3 linked regions of the Drosophila melanogaster genome follow. The gene in region 2 interacts genetically with the main gene of each other region. Each region holds a gene or a part of one and is shown on either strand. Other genes may lie near its edges.

The links.
Region 1: of edl (region 2) and aop, changing one enhances a phenotype caused by changing the other (phenotypic enhancement), as found in Drosophila melanogaster (3 studies listed by BioGRID).
Region 3: of edl (region 2) and mid, changing one suppresses a phenotype caused by changing the other (phenotypic suppression), as found in Drosophila melanogaster (one study listed by BioGRID).

Annotation. Positions count from the first base shown.
Region 1 is NT_033779.5:2,176,680-2,180,437, forward strand, and holds the start of aop (anterior open), read right to left. Parts: upstream 2,076-3,758; 5' UTR 1,168-2,075; intron 1-1,167. UniProt on the Drosophila melanogaster protein: Ets-related protein that functions as a negative regulator of photoreceptor development acting antagonistically to pnt and the proneural signal mediated by RAS. It acts upstream of SINA to inhibit R7 development.
Region 2 is NT_033778.4:18,671,839-18,675,596, forward strand, and holds the start of edl (ETS-domain lacking), read right to left. Parts: upstream 1,699-3,758; 5' UTR 1,108-1,698; intron 1-1,107.
Region 3 is NT_033779.5:5,459,534-5,463,291, forward strand, and holds the start of mid (midline), read left to right. Parts: upstream 1-2,105; 5' UTR 2,106-2,384; coding exon 2,385-2,571; intron 2,572-3,758.

The sequences.
Region 1 (3,758 bases), on a different chromosome or scaffold from region 2:
AAAGTGCATGCAACAAGAGACTCGTGAACCGAACAGAAAGAACGATTCCGAAAGCCCGGTTCTATAGCATATAGCATATAGCGCAAAGCACACCGATATGCACTCCGATAATTACCGTTTTCATCATTTTTGTGGCGGAAAACTCGGACCTGGCCAATATGATGCAACGGGCATTACGAAAAGCACCCAGGTACCGTAATGTGGAGTGGAATGTGAAAATAGAAGAGGCTATTTTCCAAGTGAATCGATCTTGTTCGTATTGTAGAATGCTAGGGAATCGGTGAAGCGTACCGTGCATACAATGAGAGTCAAGACACTGGGCTTGGGAAGAGAAATTACTATCATATCATATTGTTACTAGACTGAGCTATGAGTATTTGCATATGGTTCTCAACCAACCACAGGTAATAATTAATCACAATCCAACTAGACTGTAAGAAATATCTAATCATATTTGGAAACAAGAAGAACATACAACAAATTATGCGCAACAATCAGATAACAAAACAATAATTAAACTATAAAACCACTCCCAAGATCCCCATAAAATTGTAACTCTTATTATTTAAACAAGCCCCAAATGAAAACGCCACAATCAGATCCTCTGAACAGGCAAATAAATCAACTAAACCTTAGATAAACCGTTGTTGCCGAGTCTTCATCCATCTCATATGAGTGTACTGCGAACCAAATATAGCCCAAGTTATCTGTTTACACGTGTAGATCCGACAAATTGTTGACCTCAACCAGAGACCAAAACTCAGACATTGTAAGACGTCGGGTGGAGCGAAGTGGGGAAGTCATATGCAGCAGATAACCAAAGCCAGATTAAGGTGGAGCAATTATTTATCAGCTGCTCAGACAAGACACTTTTCTGTTTCCATGACCATTGTGACGTAGTTATGGGAAATACATGTACCAAAAGATGGTGTTTTAACCAATTCGTAAAAAAAAGCAACGACGGCAATGGAGTGATACAGGGGTAATGTCTGTAAACACCGATTCTTGCACGATTACGAATATAAAAGAACTCCAGATATAAAAACCATTGTGCTTACATATTGAGAAAAAATGTTTTTATTTTTGACACTCTTTTCTGCTACTATTTTGACAATGGTTAATTTAACAGTTCACAACAAAAAGTATACAAATTATCAAAATTCTCACCTGTTTGCTCCACTGTGCACTGTGGTTACGTACTGTAAGGTGAGTGAGTGAATTTGTCTGTTTGCGTTGGGCTTCGGATTCGATTCTTGAGCTTTTTAGCGACAGAAGCAACGCGGAAGCGGATATGTCCAGATCCCAGAATGCTTTAGCTTTTGCTTCGCTTTCTTGTTTTATTTTTGTTTTTGGTTTTGTTTCTGTTAATTCGATGTTGTTCTTGTTGTTATCTGCTGATGACGAAGAGGGCGTCGCGCCAAGTTGCCATTGTTGTTTGTGTTGCTGTTTCCTTTTGGTGAGGGGCGCCGCGTGGGCGGTGGTTGTGTGCTTTTGGGGCTAATCCAGGCTCTCTGTTTTTGTTTTTGTTTTCGCTTCGTTCTGCGACAAATGCCAGCCGTAAAGCGGAGCAAATGAATAAGAAGAAGGCGAAGTCAAGCGTTTTTACTTCCGCCGCCGCCTCAGCAGCACGCACACACAGGCAGACGCGGGCACACAAACGCACACGCACACTGTAAGACACTCACGCGATGCACTTGCACTCTGGCGTTTTGTTCGTGTATTTGTTGTTGTACTTTGGCATTTCCTCTTTCGTCTTCCTTTTCACTTTTGCTTGCACTTCTTGTTGCGTTGCTTTGCTCTCGCTGATGTTGCTGTTGTTGTTGGCGTTGTTGCTGTCGCTCTTGTTTATTTTTTATTTCCGTTTCGCGCACACACACACCGGGCAATGTAAACACACACCGAGTTAAGAAGAACCGTTTATTTCCTCAACGCCGCGCACGAATTAAATTCTATTAATTGTGAATTAATCAATTTAAAACATATTAGTTTGCCATTTACAGCAGAATGTCTAGTTGCTTTCAGGAGCGACTCTTCTACACGTCCGCCCAGCACGGCAGTTTCTTTTTGACTGCCGATTCGATTCGAACAGGCGGCGAACATGAACAAGTCGGCGCATGCGGAGAGAGAATCGAAAGAGAAAGAGAAGCAAAGAGAGCGACATACAGCAAAAACAATTCAAAAAGAACTGGTGAAGAATACGAAAATAAGATAATTTTTTAAGGAAGTCGCGCTTTGATCCGTATCCGTTTTAGCGTCCAAGATTTATATCTTAAATCGGACCTATATTTTGAGGTACAGTGAAGCTTTGATGCGCCAGTCTTATATGAGTTAAAGTTTTAACGATTGAAAGACACCCCTGAGCTGCTCATTATATTTCAATATTTATAAACAATCTTATATCAGAGCTTGAGAGACTTGCATGCGCCACAAAATTCCAATTCCAATTCCGGAATAATTTCACAATAATCTCAATTAACATACGTATTTTATGTTCGTAATTTTTTAAAATTCCCAGATTCCCCACAATTGCCATAATAATCTCGATTATGTTATTATACTCTGAGAAGTAGGAGTGTGTGCAAAGACCACAAACAAATCATTAGGCGCGTAAACATTTACAGATCCACCATCCACTTCCTTGGCAACGAAAGAAGCAACAGCTCGCAGAGGTAATAATTTAAATAATTTAAAACCCACCAAAGTTTACTACGAAACAACTCAATAGGCAACCGCTGTCTGTGGGCGGCGTCGAATTCGCGTGGGGCGCTCGATTTAGTTGTTAATCAATAGAAGATAAAGTTTAAACAAACGATTCATGCTGATACCAGAAGCATGGGCGCCGAAATACCAAGGGATCGTTCTCTCACTAGATAACATACACACCTATTGTGACTGGAAACTTGAAATGATCGAGCATGCCATACCCATTAGCTGTCAATTGTGACTATTGGCGAGCTTTTTGCACATAAACCATAGATAAGACAATTCCGTGAACTCTAATCAGTGTGCGATAATGCTCTCAAGCATTTGAAATAATTATGAATACGACCCCCTGGCCGAAAATGAAATAAGCGCCACGCGCCTGGGAAAAGCGCTCTATTGTAATACAAAATGTTTGGAGGTGCTAGCTGATAGGTGTTTTCGATCCCATAAATCTTGGATCTTCATGGAAACCAGTTGGCAATCTTTAATTATAAATTGTTGGAACATTTCCGCTCGGCTGCGACGGAAAATCTCTTTGGAAAGGGGGCGGGGCTGGGGTTCCTCGTCAGGTTGCTTGGACGGTCGGTTGGTCGGTCGGTCGGTGGGCCTGAAGATGCGCTCAGTTGCACTGCATCCGCTTTGGGGTCTCCAGTCGCCTCAGTTGGCTAACCAGTTTCTCCCCGAGCAACGAGCAACGTTTACGTTGACATTTCAAGTCAAATGCCCATAAACGGCGACCAGCCGGACGACCCCGCCCACGCCCTGCACGCCCCTGCTCAGTTCCGTGGGTATGCACTGAAAGAAAATCTAGATTAATGGGCATTTAGGTAAGTAATAAATAGTAACATGTATTTTTATGGCTATAAATAGTTTAGCGAGTAAGCCTCGTGATATGAAACATTAAAGAACTTTTAGATTGTGACTCTAATTAAGAAATATAATAGAGATATTTTTTTCAAGTGCTATCTTTTCCGTCGATAGCTGCGATGGCGATGACGACGTTTCCAAGTGATCGCCGCAGCGACGATCACTGGCCCAAATTAGTAGCTTCGGTC
Region 2 (3,758 bases):
GTGTGATGGACGGATGTGTGACGACTTTCGGTCTTGTTGTCGCTGATGCGTTTAAAAATATAAGTACCGTGCGGCCAAATGGCGCCAAATGCATTTCGAATCGCTTTGAGTCTTGTCAAATGTGCAGTAGCGCAAGTAAATTAAAATGAATGTGATAGGAACTAAGAAAGTAGGGGATTCATGTATGTTCCGCGTTCACTGTTCACGCCTCGCACGTGTCATCGCGAAGTGAGCCATTGCAGCTGATCCCCAGCTCCTCGCCGCCCTTGGGTCAGCAGGAAGTGGGTCCCCTGCCCGATGGCCCAGTAAGTGCTTATCAAAGTGAGTGGCATAGTCAGAGGTTTGTCATTTCCACCTCCCCACGAGAAAGAACGACGGCGAGCTGAGTCAGCTGGGAAATTAATTAAGCGGGCGAGGCCAGGTGCAGATTGTTCAGTCCTGCAGCTGCAAAGATTACCCAGAACACGCGGGGCAAACGGTATGCCACTCCTGCTGCAACCCTCGACGCCCATACAACTCCATATCCTTTGCGCATGCGCGCGCATTCAGTGTGAGCAAGAAGAACAGAATGAACAGAGAAACGGGTCCAATAACTGGGAGAAACCACGAAACCATCCAGCCGAATGCATCTTTATCGACTTGGCCACAACAATTCTGTTTGCAGCTGCCGTCTTGGCATTTTAAGTGTCGCTTTGTTAGTGCACAGAACGAAATTGTATGTTATTAAGGGATCAGTCGAGCAGCACAAGGTGGTCTTCCTCTTTTTGGCCCAAAAGATGTATCTTAGCCGTTATGTAGCTTATTTCCCTTGGCAAATGCCGAACCAGTCGAACCTCAAGATATCTTGAAATATGTATCTACGTGAACTTTCAATTTGTTACTACCGCTCGGCTTCATTTTAGCTTAATTATGAAAACACCAGCTTGGAGGTCAATTAGCCAGAGTCACATCAAAACTGACAGACAACTTTTGTCGGTTTTTGGGCTGCAAGACAGCTACATACCAACTATAAAAGCCAAGAGTCAACTTAAACCTTCGGAATGCTTTTGAGTGTTAATGATGGCCATAAAAAAAAAAAATGAAAACAGCATATGTAAACCGACTTACCTTGATCGAAAAAAATGTTAATCCAACAATAGTTTGTGTTGCGAATCGTCGTCGTCGAGGTTGAGTTGTTGGAAAATTTGTTTTTTTGGGTGTATTCGAATTTTTCAGCCTTTATTATTTGTTTGGTTTCGGTTGGGTTATAAATATGTTTAAATGGTATCTGCTTCTGGAAACTGCACTTTGCTTGGCTCTCGCTCTCCCAATGGGATTGTATCTCTCGGATACGTTTCGTTTCACAACTTTTGCAGCATATAACGTATTTTTCACGCTCTGAACTACTTTTCCTATTTCGCTATGGCTCGGGTTTTGAAAGTTTTTCGTTGCTACTGCAATTGGCTTCGTTTTTCACTTAACACGATTTGTAGTTGTGGCTATTGTTTTGGTTTTCTATTTTTTGTTATTTCTTTTATTTTATTTTTTTTTTTTGGGGTGGTAAATCCAGTTTGCCAGTTGCAATCGTCAGGCGTACTGCGAAACGTATCTTTGTATCTGGCGGATGAGTGAGTAATGCGCACTGCAAATCTATATGAAGCTCAGAAATGTATCTGTGTCTGCGTTCTGCTCGCGCGCGCTCCACGTTCTCAACTGATTGCGATCGTGCTCGTGCAGCGGTTTTTGTTGACTGCGCTCTCTTCGAATTCGAGTTCGAATTTCGGCCCGGCTTCTCAGCTCTGCAGTTTCTCTCGACAACAGCTGTGGACATATTTGTAGATCGCGTACAGAAAGAAATTAGTATTAAAAGGACAATTAAAAGTTGGAAAAATTAAAAAAAAAAAATATTTTTACTTATTGCGTTAACTTTAATTTTTGTTCTTATTAACAAATGTTTAAGAATTTAGTTTTTGATATATGTCTATATATAAATATTTACCTAATTTATATAAATAAATCATATCAAAGTATAGAATTATATAGTTTATTACTGACTTAATATCGGTGAATATATTGAAAATTTTTAGTTTTTTGTTTCAGTGTATATGCAGACCCGCATTTCGAACAATCTTTCCTGCTTATTGAGCCAACAGCTAAGGTCAATGAAAAGAGGTTCTTTGGCTTCCAGAATGAAGGAAATACGAATAGTTCCTTGGCCTATAGAAATGTGGGTTAACTTTAGCTGTATGAACTTTTTTGTTCAAGGATTAAGGGATTTGAAAACAGACTTTATGGTATTTGTATTCTTATTTATAGGGGTATTAAGGAAACGAAAGATTCACATACAGCCAGAGAAAGGCAATCCGTCGGGTTAATCCCTGCATTCGAATGTTCTAAATATCTTTTCTGGAAGCTGTCATCGAGTGTCTTTGACACTTCTGTGCGCAGTTGAAAAAAAAGTATTTTAAGGAGTAGTTATTAAAAACATGTTTTGAAATAAAATGTTGAAATTAATATGTCATAAAAGAATATACAAATATCCATAACCTTTATATTTTGTACTTTTCCTATATTATTCCACGTTTTCTATGACTAGACCTTGACACTTAATTTATCACCATATTCATTAACAATTTTCGAAGATTTATCATGCACTTGTGCATTCATTAATTCTGTAAGTAACTAACTCATTAATTTCGTGGAACGTTCCTAATTATTCAGCCAGCATTGATCGTCGAGTAATTACAGGAAATCCTTTTCCTGCCGCGCACTAAAAAGCATTTCAATGTTTTGCGGCTGGCACGCATGCCAAGCGATATCGGGATACCTCTGGAGATCCTTTTTGGGGATTCGAATCGGAATGGTATAGCATATGGTAATACATACATATATATATTTATCTGTACTGTAGGTCAGCCATGTGTGCAGAGCTGTCAAGTGCGTGCTGGAATCCTTTTAACCATCGCGTGAGGCGGGATCATGCCGCTGATCGAGTTACGCCAGTTTTTACTTGGAAATTTTATCAGTAGTTGCAGGACCACGCCCACGGGCACGCGTACGCCCTGAAAAAGGTGCATAGGTGCAGGATCGATCAGCTGCACTCGAATTGCAGCGCAGATGCAGCAGCTACTCTTTGAAGCGGTGTCCTGTTGCGATCTCAAGTGCATCTAATGGCTTGTTTATCAGCAGTTGTCGATCGCCGGGCAAATAAATTGAGTAGGTACCATTTTCCTTAATTGATTGCGGCGTTGTTCTAATCATTTCTAATTGCGATGCGAAGGACGCGCGTAGATAAGGACACACGGAGAAAAATGTATACCCACAAAAAAATAATGTAAAATCAAGCAGAACTTGAAAAGTACTTTTGATTTTAAGAATATAATATAGACCATTTTATAATTTTAAGCTAGCAGTATCTTTAATATCAATATAAAAGTGATCAAGCGAATGTTTGAATATTTATTCACTAATTTTATAATCCTGCATGGGTTTTTTCCAAGTGCACATACAGTTAATCCCCGGCTCATCCTGTCCACATACGAACCCAAGCCAAAACAGCTGCCTTGCATCCAATTGCAACGTTTTTTCCCTATTGTCTGGCCAGGAATCGGAATTTGAATCTAAGCATTAGGTACGAGTATCTCGAAGGCGATAAGAATCGTCTTGGACACAGGATGTGCAATGAGAGTTGCCAAAAAAAACAATATATGTACATATATATATAATATATAATGCCGTTGGAAGGAGAGACCCGAAAAGGATGTTTACTTAGGCGCACG
Region 3 (3,758 bases), on a different chromosome or scaffold from region 2:
CCCAGTAAAATTGGAGCAGGAAAATGTATGTCCTTCTTGCTGACCAGAGGAAATTTCCACAGTCCTGTGTCGGCCAAATTCAAAGTGAAAGTATTCGATTACCCAAAGCGATCGTTAAGTGAGAAAGGGAAAAGTATCGAAGAAATTATAAATTGCCGACAAAGCCGAGGGCCAAATACTTGAGATTTCGAGAGGGAAAGGACATAACAAGGAGAAAGTCAAACGAGGACAGTTAGCCGCACTAATTAACAAGCAGAATTGTTTATTTTTACAAGTGCCAAGTGGCCACTTTTTTTTCAGATCGACCGCCCTTTGTTTTCACAACTTGTGTTTTCCTTGGCTTTTGACATTTTGGTGACATACGGGACTGCCACCTAAAAAGACACACATGTAGATGCACAGACAAGGCCAACATATTAGGAACATAGGCTCTTTTTATGAAAGGAAGTGTAAACCTTTTTCTAGAATCAAAGTATGCACTCTACTTTTTAGAACCAGCGTTCTTGTGTCATAAAATTGTATTTAAAGTTATCCCAATCTATAATGCTATCGTCCGTTTTGCTTTTGAATTTGTTAATGCTGATAAAACATTTTATAGCTATCAACTTAACTGCAATTGTAACCAGAACACACACGACGCATCCCTCCCCGTCCACTTTCACCATTTCTCCCAGGGCGAAAGTGTCAAAGTGACATGCCCACTTTGTCGCTACCCGACTTAAAAAATGTCTCAAATTACAAAAATCACACAACAAGACGGTTTGTTCCTCGCACAGGATAAGCGGGATTAGTCAGCTTGTTAGTTAGTTTGGATCTCCGCGTTCCGTTTTTCAGGATCGCAGGATTTCCGTCATGGCAATTGGCAATCCGAGCAATACGTAATGAATGTGACGAACTGTCAGTTGTTTCGAGTTTCCTTGTCGCAGCCGCATTTTCTTTGCATTTTTTAGCGGGTTAATTGGCACTGACAAAGGTCTTGACTTTTGCCTGGGAAACATAACAATTTGTTGACATCTGTAAATATTATGGGGGAATTTTCCAGAGGACTAGCTTCTATCATACAGCGTGTGGAATTGTATATAATTACTAACGGAAAAATATCCCTGTTAACTTTTTGAATCGCCATAATCTAAATTTCATGATCATATCCTCTTGAATATAAAAAAATATAGCTTTACAAATAAAAATGTCTTGACTAATGCTTATAGATATACTATGTTTTCAAATGGACTTCTATAATATGTACTAAGCGAATTGTTTAAAATATGTTCTTCCCTTTACCGAAATAAATTCAAATTGCATATACATTTTAAATAAACTTGTAGTTATTTTCGCACTCTTTATTCATGTTTTTAGAGCACAGAAAAATTTCTCGAGCTCAAACTAATAAATTCCCAACGTCCCATTGCAATAACCTTGACTCAAGGTCCATGTCCTTGCAGATAAATAAGAAAGGAAAAACAACGGGATGCAACTGCAGAAAAAAAACAGAGACATAAAACTCACTCAAAACAGAATTGAGTGAGACACGGAACGTGTTGGAAACGAAATGGAACAGACGGAAGATGGAAGAAAACGTCAGAAGAGGAGATAACAGGAAATGGAATGCGACGACAACGGCGAAAAGTTGTTTAAAAAAAAAGACCAAGAAAAACCGCAAGCAAAACGTTGGCACTTCATAAATGGGCGAGAAAGAGAGGCAAAAATAAAAAGAAAGAGACCTCGCTATGGAGAAATAGAGAGGTGCGAGGGAGAAGGCCAAAAGCGCCGACATTTTTAATTGTAAATGAGTTATGACGCGTTCGTCAGAGAGAGAGGTGAGGCGAAGAAAAGAGAGGGGCGCAAGTTGCTGACAGCGCCGCCTTTCTCTCTGTCGCACGTTCACTCCCCCGCCGATTTTCCAATTGGAAAACGAGAGAGCGAGTGGCGTTTTCACTCAGAGTGTGCGGCTATAGGGCTATCCCGCTTGCACTCGTACTGGCGCGGCTCGCTGTAGGGTGGTCTCGCTTGCACACATAGGGACCATAAGAGGAATAACTGGTTTCCCGAGTTTTGCGCCTGCCGTCGTTTTTGGCTTCTCAGCGGCAACATTTTCCTGACACAATTCAGTTCGTCGTCGCCTGCCTTCCGTTGCGCACACACTCAGTCCGCGAGATTCTCAGTTCGCGTGCGCCAAAGATAAGCAAAAGAAAGCAAGAGAGATATAAAGATACAAGATACTTACACCTTGAAACATACACATACCCCTCGAGTTACCAAAGCTAAAGATGCATCTAGCTTTATAAGTGCCAAGTGTTGAAAAGTGACCAGATACAATACCCCAATACCTTTCCAAGGTATTCCCTAGTTAAAGCCCCATTAAGAACAACATCATACCCTTCAAAATGCTGGTTGGATCTCATCCGTATTTGTGCAACGGGGTGCCCGCCGCCCCTGCAGCACCAAATGCCAGTGGACAGACAACAACAACGGCTAGCAAAAGTGCCGCCGGCTCAGCGACGGACTTTTCCATCGCCGCCATCATGGCTCGCGAAGATGCCTCCAGTCGGGAGTCCTCCATTCGCAGTGCAAGTAAGTTCAGATACATATTGAAAATATCCTTAATAAGAAAGGAATTCTGTGGGAAGCGGCAGAATCATTAATCGGTTGATAGGAACAATTTGTTCTTAAAAATATATTTTTATGCATTAGAAATTTAATGCCTTGAATATTAAGCATTTCGATTATATAGTGATTTTTAAACAAGATTTTTTTAGGCTTAACAGACTTACAGCAAGATTCATTGATGAGATGTAGAATATCTTTAAGATACTTTCATTTCTGTAGTCTCAAATACCATAGGGTACTTTTGTTTAGAACTTCATTTGACAAGCTATAAGTTCCCTAATTCAACAATCTTTAATCATAGTAGGTAGTTGTAACTTTAGATATTCACTTATCTCCTAGCAGTGCTTTCTGTACAAAAACTTACTTAACATACCAGCACACAATAACTAGAAATTGCTAAAACAAAAATGGAATTTTTATACGATTAATTCAAATTAAACGTGATTAACAACTCAACGCCCAAGAAGAGAACCGCAAACTTGACCAGCGAATGCAAACATTATTAGCCACAAGACAATCGCTAATTGATTGCACAACAAATCTATTAAATTACTGTTGTCGCTTTGGGTGCGCAGAGTTCCATTTAATTGCTAATGACAATTAGCAGGCGTTCCGGCCACGTTAAAAAAGAAAAAACTAGTTCTCTCTGGCCGACGGCATTCGCAATTAAGTCGAGCCAAAGATCGCGAATCCAGATATTTGTTAGCAAACACTTGCAGCGCTCTTTTGTGGCCGATATTATGATAATATGCAAATTGTGCACAGCATCTAATCGCGCGGAATTCATATTTAACAAAGGCTGCTAATTATGTTAATTAATTTTCAACAATGTGCTTCATTTTATTAATTTTACGAGGCGCAGAAAATTAGCGACGGCCGAAATCAAAACAAAAACGCTACGAGGTGTTCGTATTTTACGATCTCTTTATCAAATATGCAGCTTTTTTAATTTCATATTTTGTTTTGTTTTTTTTGTTTTCTGTGGTCGCTTTCCGTTTTCCGTTTGCTTACTTTGCATTTTAACACCTACCGTCTGGGCTCACCTGCAAAAAAACCGGGCTGCTTAGTTCTCCCCATCATTTTGTTACCATTTTCGGCTTATGGAAAATGGAAAGCGTATGTGAGAGTTCGCCCATGGATAAGCCCAAAAA